Linked DNA regions of Saccharomyces cerevisiae S288C. The gene in region 2 interacts genetically with the main gene of each other region. Each region holds a gene or a part of one and is shown on either strand. Other genes may lie near its edges.

What was found.
Region 1: mutations in YPL150W (region 2) and SSO2 together harm fitness more than expected from each alone (negative genetic interaction), as found in Saccharomyces cerevisiae (3 studies listed by BioGRID).
Region 3: mutations in YPL150W (region 2) and VHS3 together harm fitness more than expected from each alone (negative genetic interaction), as found in Saccharomyces cerevisiae (3 studies listed by BioGRID).
Region 4: mutations in YPL150W (region 2) and MTO1 together harm fitness more than expected from each alone (negative genetic interaction), as found in Saccharomyces cerevisiae (3 studies listed by BioGRID).

Annotation. Positions count from the first base shown.
Region 1 is NC_001145.3:626,365-629,716, forward strand, and holds SSO2 (syntaxin), read right to left. Parts: upstream 1,445-3,352; coding exon 557-1,444; downstream 1-556. Other genes in the region: ADD37 (Add37p), read left to right, coding at 1,825-2,421; RTP1 (Rtp1p), read left to right, coding at 2,661-3,352. UniProt on the Saccharomyces cerevisiae protein: Required for vesicle fusion with the plasma membrane.
Region 2 is NC_001148.4:266,359-271,393, reverse strand, and holds YPL150W (non-specific serine/threonine protein kinase), read right to left. Parts: upstream 3,207-5,035; coding exon 501-3,206; downstream 1-500. Other genes in the region: ATG5 (Atg5p), read right to left, coding at 1-84; mRNA splicing protein PRP46, read left to right, coding at 3,859-5,035. UniProt on the Saccharomyces cerevisiae protein: Putative serine/threonine-protein kinase.
Region 3 is NC_001147.6:427,304-431,562, forward strand, and holds VHS3 (phosphopantothenoylcysteine decarboxylase complex subunit VHS3), read right to left. Parts: upstream 2,555-4,259; coding exon 530-2,554; downstream 1-529. Other genes in the region: NOB1 (rRNA-binding endoribonuclease), read right to left, coding at 2,944-4,259. UniProt on the Saccharomyces cerevisiae protein: Component of the phosphopantothenoylcysteine decarboxylase (PPCDC) involved in the coenzyme A synthesis. Acts as an inhibitory subunit of protein phosphatase PPZ1, which is involved in many cellular processes such as G1-S transition or salt tolerance.
Region 4 is NC_001139.9:53,224-57,419, reverse strand, and holds MTO1 (tRNA modification protein MTO1), read left to right. Parts: upstream 1-1,623; coding exon 1,624-3,633; downstream 3,634-4,196. Other genes in the region: ADE57 (bifunctional aminoimidazole ribotide synthase/glycinamide ribotide synthase), read right to left, coding at 1-938; YGL235W (uncharacterized protein), read right to left, coding at 1,605-2,141; transcription activator HAP2, read left to right, coding at 3,892-4,196. UniProt on the Saccharomyces cerevisiae protein: Component of the MSS1-MTO1 complex that catalyzes the 5-carboxymethylaminomethyluridine (cmnm(5)U) modification at the 34th wobble position (U34) of mitochondrial tRNAs.

The DNA.
Region 1 (3,352 bases), on a different chromosome or scaffold from region 2:
AAAAGCCTTTCAATAAATTGCTCTTCTCTTGGCGAAAGAAAGCGGGGGGCAAAAAGAATCACGGGACTTATGTTTCGGGATCTCTTTGTTTCTTCTTTTTTTCCCGGAGAATAATTTTTTAGGACCAATTACCGTAGTTGCGACTACAACAATTGTTGTTCATACCCCCACGATTTACTTTTTGAAAACTAGTTTTTGGAATAATAATGTTGTAAAATTTCCCTTTTTCCACCCCGATTTGTATTTTATTTTTCGTTACAAAATTGGGACTAATATTAAGGGCGACAGTTTTTCTTAAAAGTAAGATTTTTTACTTAAAAATTCTTGTTCTTAACGAAATTACATACGTATTAAAATTATTTATTAGATAGTCGGTATTGTCTTTTTGTGAAAAAAAAAAATTATAATACTAATTGTTAAAAAGGCAGGTATGAGGAGGGTATAGTAGGAAAGAGAAAAGACGTTACAATTTTTAGGTTTTCGGTTTTAATAGAAATTGTTTGATTACACATAATAGGAATTGGGGGGCTGGCGGGAGGGAGGCGCATGTGCTCTATTACTTTCTTGTTTCCACAACGGATGGAACAACCACAACGACAACAACAATAGCAAAGATAATAAAGCAGATGATCAAACATCTTATTTTGTTTTTTCTTGCTTTTCTGGCACTCTTAACGGCCTTGTTGGTGTGACCCACACCTTGCTCTACATCTTGCTGAGCGTCTTCGACGTTTTTGTCAATGACATCCACATTTTCTTGTTGTTCGATGACCAACTCTTCCATGTCATTGAACAATTGGGTAAGTTCAGCCATTGTTTTTTCCAACTTCAACAACTCTTGATGTCTAGCCTGTACTTCGGCCAATGCTGTCTTGGCCTCACCACGTCTATTGGCGTTTAGCAACGCTTGGGAAAAGATCTGCTGGCCATTGACATCGTTGATGGCGGCTTCCACTTCTTCGTCAGTGGCTTCCGGTTGGATAATTGTGTACTGTCTCTTCGCCTGCTCTTTGCTTTCTTCTTTGTAGTTAGAATCGATAATTCTGTAGTCTTGAATTAATTTTAAGAATTTCTGTCTGCAATTTTCAGCTTGTGCCTGTTTATTAGAGTCGTGCAATCCGTCTCTCTGGGCATCTTTGATATCCGCTTTCAATTGATACTGCAAATCTGTGGCCTGAGAGATGTAATCGTCCAAAGAACGTCTCAATTCCATCTCCTGTTCCTCACTCACTTGAGTAAGTAGGTCTTTGTGTTGCGCATCAATTTGGTTGATAATGTTTTCGTACCTGGACAAGTTAGCATTTATTGAGTTGATCTTGTTCATAAAAGCTACGAAATCGTCGCTACCATCTGAGTGACCAGTAGGAGCATTGTTCAAGTCCTCTTGCATTTCATAGTTTTCAGCGTACGGATTGTTATTCTCATAAGGATTAGCGTTGCTCATTGCTGCAATATTTGTGCGTGTATGGGCAGTTTTCAAATGTAAAGTATTACAATTCCACACTATTCCAGCTCTCTTATGGGTATATTAAACGATTTAACCTGCCAACAGCATTTATTTGTCATTTTACTTGCTTTTTTCATCCATCCATTGAAACTAAAAACGTCAAAAAAGGCCATTTCGTAAACAACGGCCGGGTGATAAGCACGTCGTTTAGGGGGGACCCTTTGCTGCCGCTTGGTACCCGGCTCGTAAGACATAAAGATGCCACATATTTACTTTTAGCTGGCTTCTTTATTCACACAGGCTACTCATAAGAGCTTCAGTAGACGCGCATCTGTCGGTTCTTCGTCAATCTATTTCCGCACATACTATTACGTACGATGGCTATTAAACCAACCAAAAGTTTTCAGAATTGTCTAGAAGCTGAAGTGCCTGGTTATAACGACTGTCCGACAGTTTTGTTTTCTATCGACCCTAATAGCGGACCTAGATCCAAATCTAAACAAAGAACGAAATCGAAAAGATGTGTTAGCGGCAGACTTGCCACAGAAGTGTTAGATCTTTATGGGAACACTAAAACAGCTACTACGCCGCCACCAGTTTTGAGGAGGCCATCTGTAACTGCTGCTCAACAAGAATCTGCCTGTGAAGGTGTGCTCGTAAAAGACCAAGGCGATAGACAGCTCCAGCCGATATTATGCAGTAAAGAAGAATTAGTGGCTAAGATCAACGACCTCTGTGTGTGTGGCTCGAAGCTCTCTTCGAAGGAGTTGGAATTTTACAAGAAAAAATTAGATTCAAACATTACCAAGATTTTACAAAACGAGCACACCAAAACAGTACTATCCCAGATTTTCAATGAAAAAGACAAAAATATGGCCGTGAAAACCATTAAACATTGGATGGTTACTGACACAACAATCTCAAATTGGTGTCCCGCATTCTTAAAAATTTTTGAAAATGCGATGCCTAATTAATCAATAATATTATTATATTTATAAATAGAAGTACACTACGCAGAACATTTTATTTTCTAAAAAAAAAAAGAATTCCTATTGAATAATTAAAAATCAAGGTTACCCGCAGTCTGCTTGAGAAATTTAATAAAAAACATGTAATCATCTCATCGCGTCGAACAGCATATAGCAATAAGGGCTCATCACCGCCTCATGTTTCTTCTTGTCATATCAGATCAAGAAAAACAAAAGGTTGGAAAATGAATGAGGATAAAGAGCAAAAGATCAACATACACGATATATTGAATACAAGACCGAAGCTCACCAAAAAGACAGCCCTAGATGTTTTCTTCGAAGATCTGGATGACAATGTAATTACTCCCATAAACGAATATGTTCTTGATTCAGGCTCATCATCATCCTCTTCCATTTATCAGGCGTTGAAGTGCTCAAATAACAATGAGTTTGTTGCAGTACTTTTACAGAAATTCCAGAATTTGCACATTCACGTACTAGAACAGCAACGGAGGCTCATCGAAAGTAAAAGTGACTTATTGCCTATCTCATTGCATGATATGAAATACGTAGACGAACTGATAAATCTTTTGATTATTCATGGTATAGATGCTAATTTGTCTCCTACGATGAAAATTCCATTCGATTCGAAAAGAATAAATACTTTCAAGAAGGGCCAAAAAAGCGCAGAATATGAAACGCCTCGATGGCACACCATAAATAACGATACTTTATCTCAAGTCATAACTGTCTTTTATAATGTTCTAACTAGTGAGAGGTCTTCTGACTACCTGAGAGAAATAATATCAAAAGGCAGTGCTTACGCAAACATTTTATTAGGTTTGATTGTGTTACATTTGCAGTTGCCTAATAGGTACTCTTCACAAATGATTACAAATCTAGAAGATACTCAAGAAACTTATACTTTGTTTGGGGT
Region 2 (5,035 bases):
ACTTCCTTTCATCAAAAATGAAGGATCGATCGATACCAGCACATTAAGCTCACCATTCCAAAGTAATTGTTTAATGTCATTCATACTTACATCATAGGTTTCCTATCTCCGTTCTTCTAGAACCAAAAGAACAAAAATTCATTCGCACTTCTGAGCATGCTACTTCATTATTTAGTGTAAAAAAGGTGATGATAATTTATCTAAAGAGGCGTTATGTTTCTCATCGCGCTACAAAAATTCTGTGTTTAGCTCCGCCTCGCGATGTTCTTGCCACAGTTGGATAACCGGACAAAACTTCGATCATTAGAAAAAAGTGAGCTTAATCGCGAGTTCATACAGATGCCATTATTTTTTTATAATATAATTATATGTGATAAAAGTCGGGTTTCTTTATAATTTTAAAGCTTTTTTATTATACCGCAATATCCATATGTACATATATAGACAACTTCCTTACAGTATTTTTTGCCGTTTTTACCAGTTACTCTGTTATCCGGTACCTACGCTGTAGGATTCCCCCCATCCTCTACTAGCAATGAAGATACCCTTCGCCGATTATTGTCCGAATCCAAATAGCTACTAGACCAATTACTTCCTTCGCTCAACGAACGTTTAGTTGCCACAGCCTTCACGCTGGGCAAATGATTCTGTTTGTCGATAACGTCATCGGAAAACTGCGGTTTGATAGAAAATTCTCCGTCAGTGTGAATTGCATACTCGTCATCTCCTTCTTCATCGCGTTCGTTCAACCCATTTTCTATTAATCCTTTAGTTTGCAAAACTGGTGTTGGAAGACCCTTTCCCTTGCTATAGATAACATTATGATCTTCTTCTTCTGATGAGCTTACTTCTTGAATAATAGAGTCTGTATTTGAAGAAGTTATTTTGAACAGACCTCTTTTAGACGAACGCCTAGCATTCTTGCCATGGCGGGACGTGGTATACGTCCTTTTGCCAGTCCATGGCCTTTGAGTCCCAAATCTGGGCAAAACAGACTCTTTCAGATTATTGTTTTTATTGCGCCTATTATCAGTGGTCACAACTGGTGTAGCTGTAGTGATATCGTAAAAGGAATCTGTTCTTGAACTTCTTTCAGAGGTGCTCGACGCAGTCGATACAATGCTTAAATCCCTCCTGACAAATTTTCTACCGTAGCCATTTGTCATTTTTTCGGATGAAGCTGAATACTGCGAGGTAGTTTCAGAGCCTTTTCGTATATAGCTCGGCTTGATAGTGTCTGAAATTTTGAATGACGAATTATTACCATCAGTGGAGTACTCTGATATATAAGTGTCATTAGAAATTTGCGATATCTCTGACAATGGCCGATTTCGTATCGGTGGCGGGGAAACTTTTCCATCAAAAGATATAGACCTAGAATTTTCCGCAGATTCGCTATCATAATTACCAGTAGAAGTTTGAGATATTTCACTTGATATGGACGATTTGAAGCGCTTGAGGCGAGGTTCCTCTATTCGGATATGTTCATTTAATAATAGTTCTGGAGCTACTTTTAAGCCTATTTCATTCCCAGAAGTTTTCTTATTTTCTAATGTAGTATTATTAGCACTCCGTGGCACAATGGCACCGGCAACATTTTCGTTTAACGATCCTATAGACTCCGTCCTTGAAGGATTTGCAACAGTGTCAGTTCTTGATTTCTGAATAGAACCACTGTTTTTTTTGAGAAACGACCCTGAAGATGGGGCTCCTCTATTGCTTGCAATCAAGCTTTCACTAACATTTGTGTGAATACTATTGTTGCTATTGCTGTTAGAGCTTTTTTTTGACTTGAAAAAACTAGAAACTTTTTGTAAGAAATTATTGGACTTGCGAGGAGAACCTGCAATAGAGTGACTATAAGCCCTTTGTGAGGATATTTTAGAGAGAGTAGGATTCAGAACTTTTGCTGAATCTTTAGACTTCTTTCTGCTAACCGGAGTCATCGATGTTACAAAATCTGAGCCTTTATTGAGCATTTTACTCAATGAAGCAGCTCTAGAAAGTTCAAGTGAGGGTTTCAAAACATCTTCGCTAATGCCATTAGTGTCGTTATGCGTAGCACTTTCAATAACTTTTTTGACTGATAAAACGGACCTGCTTCTTTTTGGATATTTGCAATTTTCTTGCTTTTTCCCTTGGGCTAACAACAATAACCATAGACCCGAGAGTGAATCGCACTTTTTTTTCAAAATTGATTGTTTTATTGCTTGCGTATCAACCCCTGATTGTTTAAGACGCTTCAGCAATCGCCTTTCTAATTTACTTTTAAACTGAGTCCCTCCACTGCGCTGTCTGCACAAAATTTTCTGAGTCTGATCTAAAACCACTGAACCGTAAGGCTGTAAAAAAGGGTGGCGTAAAACTTGTGACAACGATGGGCGCTCTCCCGGATTTTTAGCCAATAATCGTGAGATCAAATCCCTAGCATCGTCCGGAATAACTTTAGCATCGTATTTCGGTTCTTCATTGACGATTTTCCATTTCGTTTTAGCCTCATCGTCATCATCAAATGGCAAATATCCCGTAATTAATGTGTATAGTATCACTCCCAATGACCATATATCAATCTTGAATCCATCATAAGTCCTTCTTTCTATCAATTCAGGTGCCATATAAACTGTGGTACCGCAAACCGTTTCTAATGTCGTCTTTGTCATACATTCTCTCGTAAAACCAAAATCCGTCAATTTTGCATTTCCATTTTTGTCTAATAAAATATTCTCTAACTTCAAATCTCTATGAACACAATGCATTGAGTGTGCATAGTAAACAGCACCTGAAATTTGTGCAAACAACTCTCCGCATTCCAATAACGATATTCTACGCAGAGAAAGTAAGTGGTCATATAATTCCTTCCCTGGGCAATATTCTAATGCCATCCACACTTTTGATTCTGTCACTATCACTTCATAAAGCTTTGTAATATAAGGAAAATCGAACTGTCTATGGTAAAATACCTCTCTAACGATATTGGGATCATTCTTATCACTCGTCTTTAGGCAGACTTTACGATGTGTTGGTCTATGGAGCGCTAAATATACTTTTCCAAAACTTCCTTCACCTATTTGTTTTAAAATCTTGTAGTTTCCCACTTCTGTCAACTCATCAGAAGTAAATTGGCTGTATAGTCGATTGTACGATGATCCTATAATGCTTTTTATATTGTTTTGTTCCAATTTCGAGGATCCAACAGGATTAACCATGGTGAGCAGTATATTCACCTATATGTGGGTCTTTTATTGTCTCTTGGCAACGGATAAGGAGAACTTGCTTCCACTACACAGTGACTAGTTATTAATGAAAAACGAAACAAAATTTATTGATACAAAAAATAGTATTCGGATAACGAAACTCTTGTTGACTTCAAAATACAGGTATTGGAATTTTCGTAATGATTCGGAATGATATGAGGGAAAAAACGTTACTTTATTTAATTCATACAAGATATTTATTGTATACCGTTATTGATAAGTGTTCTGTTGTCAAGATTGGGAGGGTCCACGCGGTCAACATTGTTAAGATAAGCCGAAAATCACCACACAAATCCACGATGACCTAAGAACATTCGTTCGCTTAAATCACCTATAGTCACAATAAAGTAGCATTCAATGTGACAAGAGGAGCTATCTACTTTCAGAGAATTACTCCTCATCTCGTATTCCTATTTCGAGTTCAACAACTCTTTTATTAAGTAAGGGTGCTCAAAATTCTTCATCATCTAATACGGAAAAGCTACAATTTTGGCAATAAAAGATTATTCAAGATGTGAAGCTAACAGTAATTATTACCCACTTCATTGCATCTTAAAACCATTTCCGAGGATGCAGACACTGTGTTACATGGAGATTAGTGAGAATGGACGGAAATGATCACAAAGTCGAAAATTTAGGAGATGTAGACAAATTTTATTCCAGAATACGCTGGAATAACCAATTTTCATATATGGCCACTCTGCCGCCCCACCTACAAAGCGAAATGGAAGGTCAGAAATCATTGCTAATGCGATATGATACTTATAGGAAGGAAAGTTCTTCTTTTAGTGGTGAAGGCAAGAAAGTTACTCTGCAGCATGTTCCTACAGATTTTTCAGAAGCATCACAAGCAGTGATTAGCAAGAAAGATCACGATACGCATGCATCTGCTTTTGTGAATAAAATTTTCCAACCAGAGGTTGCTGAAGAACTTATAGTTAATCGATACGAAAAACTTCTGTCACAAAGGCCGGAATGGCATGCACCCTGGAAACTTTCACGCGTTATCAATGGCCATCTTGGATGGGTACGATGCGTTGCAATCGATCCTGTTGACAACGAATGGTTCATCACCGGAAGTAATGATACGACAATGAAAGTTTGGGATCTTGCAACAGGAAAATTAAAAACTACCTTAGCAGGGCATGTAATGACAGTGAGAGACGTTGCTGTGTCAGATCGACATCCTTATTTATTTTCTGTTAGTGAAGATAAGACGGTCAAATGCTGGGACCTAGAGAAAAACCAAATTATTAGAGATTACTATGGACATTTATCGGGGGTTCGTACGGTGAGCATACATCCAACGCTGGATCTCATAGCTACCGCAGGCCGAGATAGCGTTATCAAACTCTGGGATATGAGAACCAGAATACCTGTTATTACACTAGTTGGGCATAAGGGTCCAATCAATCAAGTACAGTGTACTCCAGTAGACCCTCAAGTGGTGAGTTCATCGACTGATGCTACGGTAAGGTTATGGGATGTAGTTGCTGGGAAAACAATGAAAGTTCTAACACATCATAAGAGGTCTGTGAGAGCTACAGCGTTGCATCCTAAGGAGTTTTCGGTGGCTTCTGCGTGTACTGATGACATCAGATCATGGGGATTAGCAGAGGGGTCTTTACTCACCAATTTTGAGTCTGAAAAGACAGGCATAATCAATACTTTAAGCATTAATCAAGATGATGTATTATTCGCTGGCGGTGACAATGGTGTGCTTTCCTTTTATGATTATAAGTCTGGTCACAAATACCAATCGTTGGCCACGAGAGAAATGG
Region 3 (4,259 bases), on a different chromosome or scaffold from region 2:
AGCGGTTTAGCGGATAGGCTGCTTGATCCTTTTATCCAAGATGTATGATAGAGTCAGGAACTCTTCAAGCGGGAAAGGCGAGAATATCTCTTATGCAAAGTCTAAGACTTCGGTGGCAAGTATTTCCCTTTTATATCTTCTTTGCTTCTGGGCCGATGCAGTCTTTGCCACCGCCCCCTTCTTTCTTTTTTTCCCTGACAGGGCCGAAGCTCGCAGAAAACAGAAAGGTGAAACGAACCGCAGAGCTGTGGAGCATTTGATCTCACCCGCTTTGCGATAAGCTGGCAAGGTTAAATCGGATTTGAACCACTCCCTTTCCCTCAGAATGAACATCCGATAGAGTGACGACGCACCTCCGCAGCATCGTAAGCGCTAACTATGAGACATAAAACTCCCTTTGGAAAATGAGTTAAGTGTCCTACTTGCCTATTTTTAGCCTTCTCTTCTGGTTATCAGTGATTAATGCAAATTTATTCTATGTAAAGATATATATAGTTCAAAAGTTTTACAATAATGAAATTAGTCCTATTTAAGATCGCTGTAGCCCTCCTTTATCTTCTTTCTTTTTTCCTTCATCGTCTTCATCTTCGTCTTCGTCATCTTCATCGTCGTCGTCGTCGTCGTCATCATCGTCGTCATCATCGTCGTCATCATCATCATCGTCGTCGTCGTCGTCGTCGTCGTCGTCGTCGTCGTCGTCATCATCGTCATCATCATCATCGTCATCGTCGTCGTCGTCATTATCTTCATCTTTACCACCAGTATCGTTCTTCTTATTATCATCCTCCTCATCGTTATCTTCATCCTCTTCTTCTTCCTTTCCCGCAGAAACATCGGGATAACCACCTAGTTTGACGACTATCTTGCCAACAATCTCATTTGCATCCATCATCCCACTTAACCCGATGTCACCGTTTATGCCCATGACTTTTTCTGAGGGTTTAAATACAGTTACCCAAGGCATCTCTTCTTGAATAATTCGAAAATGTTTTTTAGTCATTATGGAATTGAACGTACCGCTACCCATTGAAGGCGCTAGGAATATGGGAAACGTTGGATTCCATGCCCTTATTACACTTGTCAAAAGGTTGTCACATAAACCAAGGGCAATCTTGGCCAACGTGTTTGCGGTTAATGGTGCGACAACTAGTATATCTGCCCAACGACGTAGTTCTATGTGTAATACAGGATCAGTTCGTTGTCGCCATACATCCCACTCGTCTTGGTCTGTCCAAAATTGTATATGTGCTGGCAGTTCAATTTGAGGATGTTGCGATACAACGTTTGAAGAGTTGCTGTACGTACGACTACCACCAAGTGTCGAAGGAAATCCAGTAGTAGAGGCCATTTGTTTTTCTTCCTCCTGTTTATTATTTGTCTGAGAAGCCGCTGAGTTTGAAGACGTCTTCTGAATGCTAAATTTTTCAAGAGAGGCTACTTTTTTCTTGTTACCAGTTATATTGCCAGCATTAGAATTGGTGCTGTTGAAAGAAGTATCGATACTATTGTGTTGTTTCTTATTTTTCCTCATATACTTCATTGCAAAAAATTTGGTTGCTGAGTTAGTTAGTATAACTTGTATGCATATTTTGTCCCTTCCGTAAATTTCTTCTAATTTTCTGATCATGTGCTTGAGTTTGAAAACAGACAAAGAACCTGTTGCCCCAAAAAGAACGTGTAGCTTGCCGTCATCTTGGGGAAGCCTTGGATCCATATTGGTCATAATATTTTCTCTCTTCAAGGGATTTGAGACTGCATTGGGAGACATTGCTTCTTCCAAGACAGACTCCAACAATGTGGGCTCTCCAGTCTTTGATATGGAGCCCTCTCGTTCAATGTTGATGGGGTTAAATGTATTCACTACCACAGAGGGGCGAGGACTAGTACTGTTAGACCTTGATCTAACTGATGGGGTGTGTAAAGGATCTTCCACGTAGAAATGTGGGTGCTCCTTTCTGGGGCTATCGGAACTATTGTCAGAGTTTAAAATAGAATCTGTTCCACCGGTGAAACTTAGCTTTTTAGCCAGCAGGCTGGATATGTTATTCCCCATATCAGCATTGGAGAGAATAGAGGTTGGAGTCGAAAAAGAAGAAGCAGAAGCCTCGCCATCTTTTGGTACTTTTGTATTTATGTCTTTCAAGTTTCTTCCTTGATTTGCACCCTCCGCTGCGATGTGTACAGACGTTGCTTTCTTTTCGCTGGACTGTCTGGCCACCTGGTTAGGTGGAGTTTGCTCCACATCCGACCTGAGACTACCCAACTTTGGATCGCTGAATGTAACAGTTGGTATCCTTTTTAACCCTGGCTCTGGTGTATTACTTACAACTGCCCCAGAAGTTCCGCTAGCATTCATGATTGACTTAGTTTGTGAACCAGTGGGACTAGTTGATTTCCTTACTACAGGAGTGTCCAGACTAGAAACGGAAGAAAATGGTCCCGTAGAATTTGTGTCAGGCATTGCCGATGAACCTATATTGGCCTGCTCAGCTCCAGAGAGAGTATTCGAAGCAACCCCTTTCCTATTGTTCTTCAGGCTAGATTTGTTTGTCATTGCGTCTCTGCACTATAATTATGGCCAGTATTCCTCTTTCTGGTCTCTTCTTTGAACTAAAGTAATCTTATAAAAGGCTATCCTTTTTTTGGCAATCTAGTATTAATCCTGATCAAAAAGTCCTCAAAACGAGCCCTCTTCAAAGTGCTGTAACACCATTCATCTCATAAGGGGAGGGCATACTGAGCAATAAAACGTTTTCTTACCTTTTCGGTCTTTTGGACTCTCCAACCAGAAAGTTAAAGGGCAAAAAAGCTCACATGACACGCTTGTTTTGGAAAACGTCATAGAAAAACCACGTGAAAAAAAAAAAAAAAAAAAAAAAAAAAAGAAAAAGAAAAAGGGCAGCTGCCAACTAGTACACACTACACAGATATTTATGAAAAACACTAACTTCTCCTTTTGGAACTGTTGACGTACCTTCCCTTACCAATGCGGACGTTATGCTGCTTCAACCCAGTAATTGCAAATGGAGAAATATAGTTATCCGCAGAACCGCCACCAATCCAATTGTTTAGAATCTTCTCGTTGTGTCTTCTTGTCCATTCTTCTTGCTTTATCACCTTTTCGTACTCCTTTTGATCTTCTCTGAGAATCACATTTTCCTGTGGTTTAGAATGTACGTGTCCCTTTTTGCCGTACCTTTTTTGGGAGTTCTTAGATAAGGGGCTGGCTACAGAATATCTGTTTCCTCTATTGTTCCATTGGAAGTTCGACTTCAAGTGCGGTGTAACGTTCCCCGTGCGTGAGTCAACGGAAACTGCGCATCTTAATAAGGTACCCTGTCCACCGCATGAGGCACAGAAGTGCTTTGGCTTGCCGTCTTTTGGTAGAGGAAATATTTTGAAACAGGCGTGGCATCTTAGCATATAATTACGGATTCGCTTGATTTTCAGACCTGACATGAAATTCATTAGATTTAGATTCATCTGCAACGCTACATTTTGGACGGCAAAATCGCCAGTCGCCAATGCCACCTGATTCTCTGGTCGATTCAATGCGACATGGCGATCCTCTTCGGACGCTTCTACACCCAATGAACCAGTGGTATCTTCACCACTATCCTTAATAATTGCTTCTGTTAAGTTCTCGGGGGTAATCCAATCACCATCATCATCAGCATCCTCGAATACTTCATTTAAATCGGAAGATTCCTTTATATTTTCATCATTACATATCTGCTCTTTGGATCCAGCCTCCTCAACATGTTCCTCAGCTTTACTCTCTAGCTCAAGGTTTGCATTTTCAGCTTCTCTTGCTTCTCTTGCTTCTCTTTTTGCCTTTTGCTTTTTTCCACCTCTTCTCTTGTTCTTTTTTTTTGGAACACTTTCAGAGTCCTCCTCCTTTTTATTATCTTCTGTGAGCTTCTGTTTGCCGTCCGTACCAACGTCAGCCTTGGACGCATCTAATGCATCACCTGGTTTTTTCCTCAGTCTCCAATCGCCATTATTTAGTTTAATTTCTAACTCGTATGTCAAAGCAAGAATATGCAAATCATTGGCACTCAGTACGGAGTAGTCACCGGTCAATTTGGCGAACGTACTTACTTTGGCTATCGAGTTTTCACTTGGATGTACTAATTTCAAAGTTCCGAGGCTCTGCCAAATTTCAAGGTTTTTCCTTGCTTGAGCATCCTTAATTTCTTGAAAAACTGTGGGAGTAGTATAAAAAGACTGTGCATAATTCTGGTAATGTGTGTAGGACT
Region 4 (4,196 bases), on a different chromosome or scaffold from region 2:
CTCAAAACAGCCTGTGTCTCTGGGTCACCGAATCTGACATTATATTCTAACACTTCGGGAACAAGTTGATTTGTCTTAGAATCCTTCACCAAAATCATCCCGGTGAACAGCACACCAACAAAGGGCATACCATCACGTCTCATCCCATCAATCGTAGGCTTCACAATCTGTGAATCTATGGTCTTCAACAAAGATGGTGTGGCCACAGGAGCGGGGGCATAGGCACCCATCCCACCGGTGTTCAAGCCCTTGTCGCCATCAAAGATCCTCTTGTGATCTTGTGCGACGGGGAGATTGAAGTGAGAGTACCCGTCAACAATGGTGAGTAGAGAGATTTCATCACCTTCCAAGAATTGTTCTATCACAACCTGCTTGCCCGCTTCTTCACCGAATTGCTTGGTGACCATTATGTCCTTGATAGCTTGGACGGACTCGTCGATGCTAGATGGGATAATAACACCTTTCCCAGCAGCGATCCCGTCGGCCTTGATGACAAAAGCTTTGTCAGTATGAGCTTGCAAGAATGAAATGGCTTCTTCTGGATTAGTGAAGACATCATAAGACGCGGTTGGAATATTGTGTTTTGACATAAATCTCTTGGAGAAAGCCTTGGAAGCTTCCAACTGAGCGGCTTTGACGGAAGGTCCAAAAACGGGAATACCAACGCTATGGAACACGGAGGTGATGCCGTTGACTAGAGGTAATTCTGGACCAGGAACGACCAAGTTGATCTTATGTTCCACAGCCATCGACTGCAAACGAGCAAAATTGGCGACATCTGGCGTAATATCCCAGTTTATCACACGCGAAGGATCCATGGTTGCGGTCCCTCCATTACCTGGAGCGACATAGATCTTACCCACGGTGGGTGACTGAGCCAGCTTGGTGACAAGAACGTGTTCTCTTGCACCGTTTCCTAAAACGAGAATGTTGAGCATTGTGAGGGGAGGGAGAATGGTTCTCTTAAGCTATGATTAAGAAAGTAATAAGAAATAACTGCGCTACTAGTGGTAGCTCCTGGGACGGTTAACAGCGGTTGCACTTGCCTCTGAACATAGTTTAAATACCAAGTTCAAGCCCATCGCATATTCATTATTGCTGTTATTACCAGGACACGAGTCAGTCGGCACTTGTCACTACCGACGGGGCGAGTCAACTGAAAAAAAAAATGAAAAATTTTGAAAAAAAAAAAAAGCTGCTTACTGCCACTATTAGTCACGGTATGAACAACGGCAGTTGAAGATTAGACGATTTCTTAACGCTTAGGTAGTTATTAGAGTATGATATAGTAGATTCAAGTTTATGATATCTGTCTGTCCCTGTGTGGGGTTGTAGTAATGCTGTGGCTTCTTTCTTGTTACTTAGATATGGCGTTGCAGAAGGAACGTACAAAGAGGTGCTTCTTCATCCGGGGGTCTTCTACTTTTGTATGGCTCTTGATCGCCACCGTGTAATCGAGCCCTTGTGGCTTCTCTAAGGTACCTGTGTGCGGCCACTTTCTTTATGGTTGGTAACGTATGGTGGCATCTTTCACAGACGGATAAGTGCGGTTTAATTCTTCACTTAAATCTTGAGGGCATCCAATAGTTTCTGCAGAATACCAGCTAAACGCCCCAAAGAACGATGCTGCGTGTAACAACCTTGGCGTCTTCGTGTACTTCATTTCCCTTACAGGTCCTCAGGAGGCGGTTGACCATATCTTCTTTGACAAGCTTCCAACCCACAACCAAGACACAGGTCGTGGTCATCGGTGCTGGACATGCAGGCTGCGAAGCTGCAGCTGCGTCATCTAGGACTGGTGCGCATACTACTCTCATTACACCATCGTTAACAGATATTGGTAAGTGTTCGTGCAACCCCTCTATTGGTGGAGTGGGTAAGGGCATCCTTGTAAAGGAAATCGACGCTCTCGATGGGCTGATGGGCAAAGTAACTGATCTCGCTGGAGTGCAATTCAAAATGCTGAACAGAAGCAAGGGTCCTGCTGTGTGGGGGCCCAGAGCCCAGATAGACAGAGAGTTATATAAGAAATACATGCAAAGGGAACTTTCCGACAAGAAAGCACACCCCAACTTGTCTCTGCTGCAGAACAAAGTTGCTGACTTGATCTTGTATGACCCCGGATGTGGCCACAAGGTCATCAAAGGTGTGGTTCTGGATGACGGTACCCAGGTTGGGGCAGATCAGGTCATAATCACTACAGGTACGTTTCTCAGTGCAGAAATTCACATCGGCGACAAGCGTATTGCAGCAGGAAGAATTGGCGAGCAGCCAACATATGGGATCAGCAATACTCTACAAAATGAGGTGGGCTTTCAGTTAGGGCGTTTGAAAACAGGCACTCCGGCTAGGCTGGCCAAGGAATCCATTGATTTCAGCGCTCTGGAGGTCCAGAAGGGAGATGCGTTGCCTGTCCCTATGAGTTTTCTGAATGAAACCGTGTCAGTCGAACCCACGAAGCAACTGGATTGCTTTGGCACACATACCACACCTCAAATGCACGACTTTTTGCGCAATAACTTGCATCAATCCATTCATATTCAGGACACGACCATCAAAGGCCCCCGCTATTGTCCCTCCATCGAAGCTAAGATTCTAAGGTTTCCTGATAGATCTTCCCATAAGATATGGTTGGAACCAGAAGGTTTCAACTCCGACGTCATTTATCCGAACGGGATATCCAATTCTATGCCTGAGGATGTCCAGTTACAAATGATGAGGCTCATCCCGGGCATGGCAAACGTTGAGATCTTGCAGCCGGCATACGGCGTGGAATACGACTACGTAGACCCACGGCAATTAAAGCCTAGCTTGGAAACAAAATTGGTGGATGGACTATTCTTGGCCGGACAAATAAATGGTACTACAGGCTACGAGGAAGCCGCTGCACAGGGGATCATTGCAGGTATCAATGCAGGATTACTATCGCGCCAAGAACGGGAGCAATTGGTCTTGAAAAGGTCCGAAGCGTACATTGGTGTGCTCATTGACGATCTAATCAATAATGGCGTCATAGAACCATATAGAATGTTTACTTCCAGATCAGAATTCAGAATCAGCGTAAGAGCCGATAACGCAGACTTCAGACTGACGCCCATTGGTGCTCAACTAGGGATTATATCTCCTGTCCGTTTAAGTCAATATTCAAGAGACAAGCACCTATATGATGAAACAATACGGGCGCTTCAAAATTTCAAGCTAAGCTCTCAAAAATGGTCTAGCTTACTACAGGCTAATATCGCGCCACAGGCTGAAAACAGATCTGCTTGGGAAATATTCAGATTCAAAGATATGGATCTACATAAACTCTACGAGTGCATTCCCGATTTACCCATTAATTTGCTGGACATCCCAATGCATGTTGTCACCAAAATTAACATTCAAGGTAAATACGAACCTTACATTGTCAAACAGAACCAGTTTGTGAAGGCATTTCAGGCAGACGAAAATATGCTGTTGCCGCAAGATTACGATTACCGTCAGTTACCCACGCTTTCCACTGAATGCAAACTACTCTTGAACCGCGTACAGCCATTGACCATAGGCCAAGCAAGACGGATTCAAGGTATCACTGCGGCAGCCCTATTTGAACTCTACCGTGTGGCACGGAAGCCAAGCCAACCAGTCATGTAAATATCCTTTAATCGTTAGCTTGTATATGTAAATAATTCATTGTATGTAACCATCAAATTCGTTATTTAGCAATCTTACCCGGAAAACTTCTTGTATCGTAACATTAATTCTCCCTTACAAGGGGACCTCGATGAATAAATAAAGTGTTTGTGTTGAAGGTACTTGCAAAAGGGCAACTCACTGTCGTTTATAATTTGATTTACTAATCGCATCTGTATTTGGAAAAGCATTTCTTTTTGGAAGAGGAACAAGAACGCCATGTCAGCAGACGAAACGGATGCGAAATTTCATCCATTAGAAACAGATCTGCAATCTGATACAGCGGCTGCAACATCAACGGCAGCAGCTTCACGCAGTCCCTCTCTTCAAGAGAAGCCCATAGAGATGCCCTTGGATATGGGAAAAGCGCCTTCTCCAAGAGGCGAAGATCAACGGGTTACAAATGAAGAAGATTTGTTTTTGTTTAACAGATTGCGGGCATCACAGAATAGAGTTATGGACTCCTTGGAACCACAACAACAGTCACAGTATACATCTTCCAGTGTCAGTACGATGGAACCATC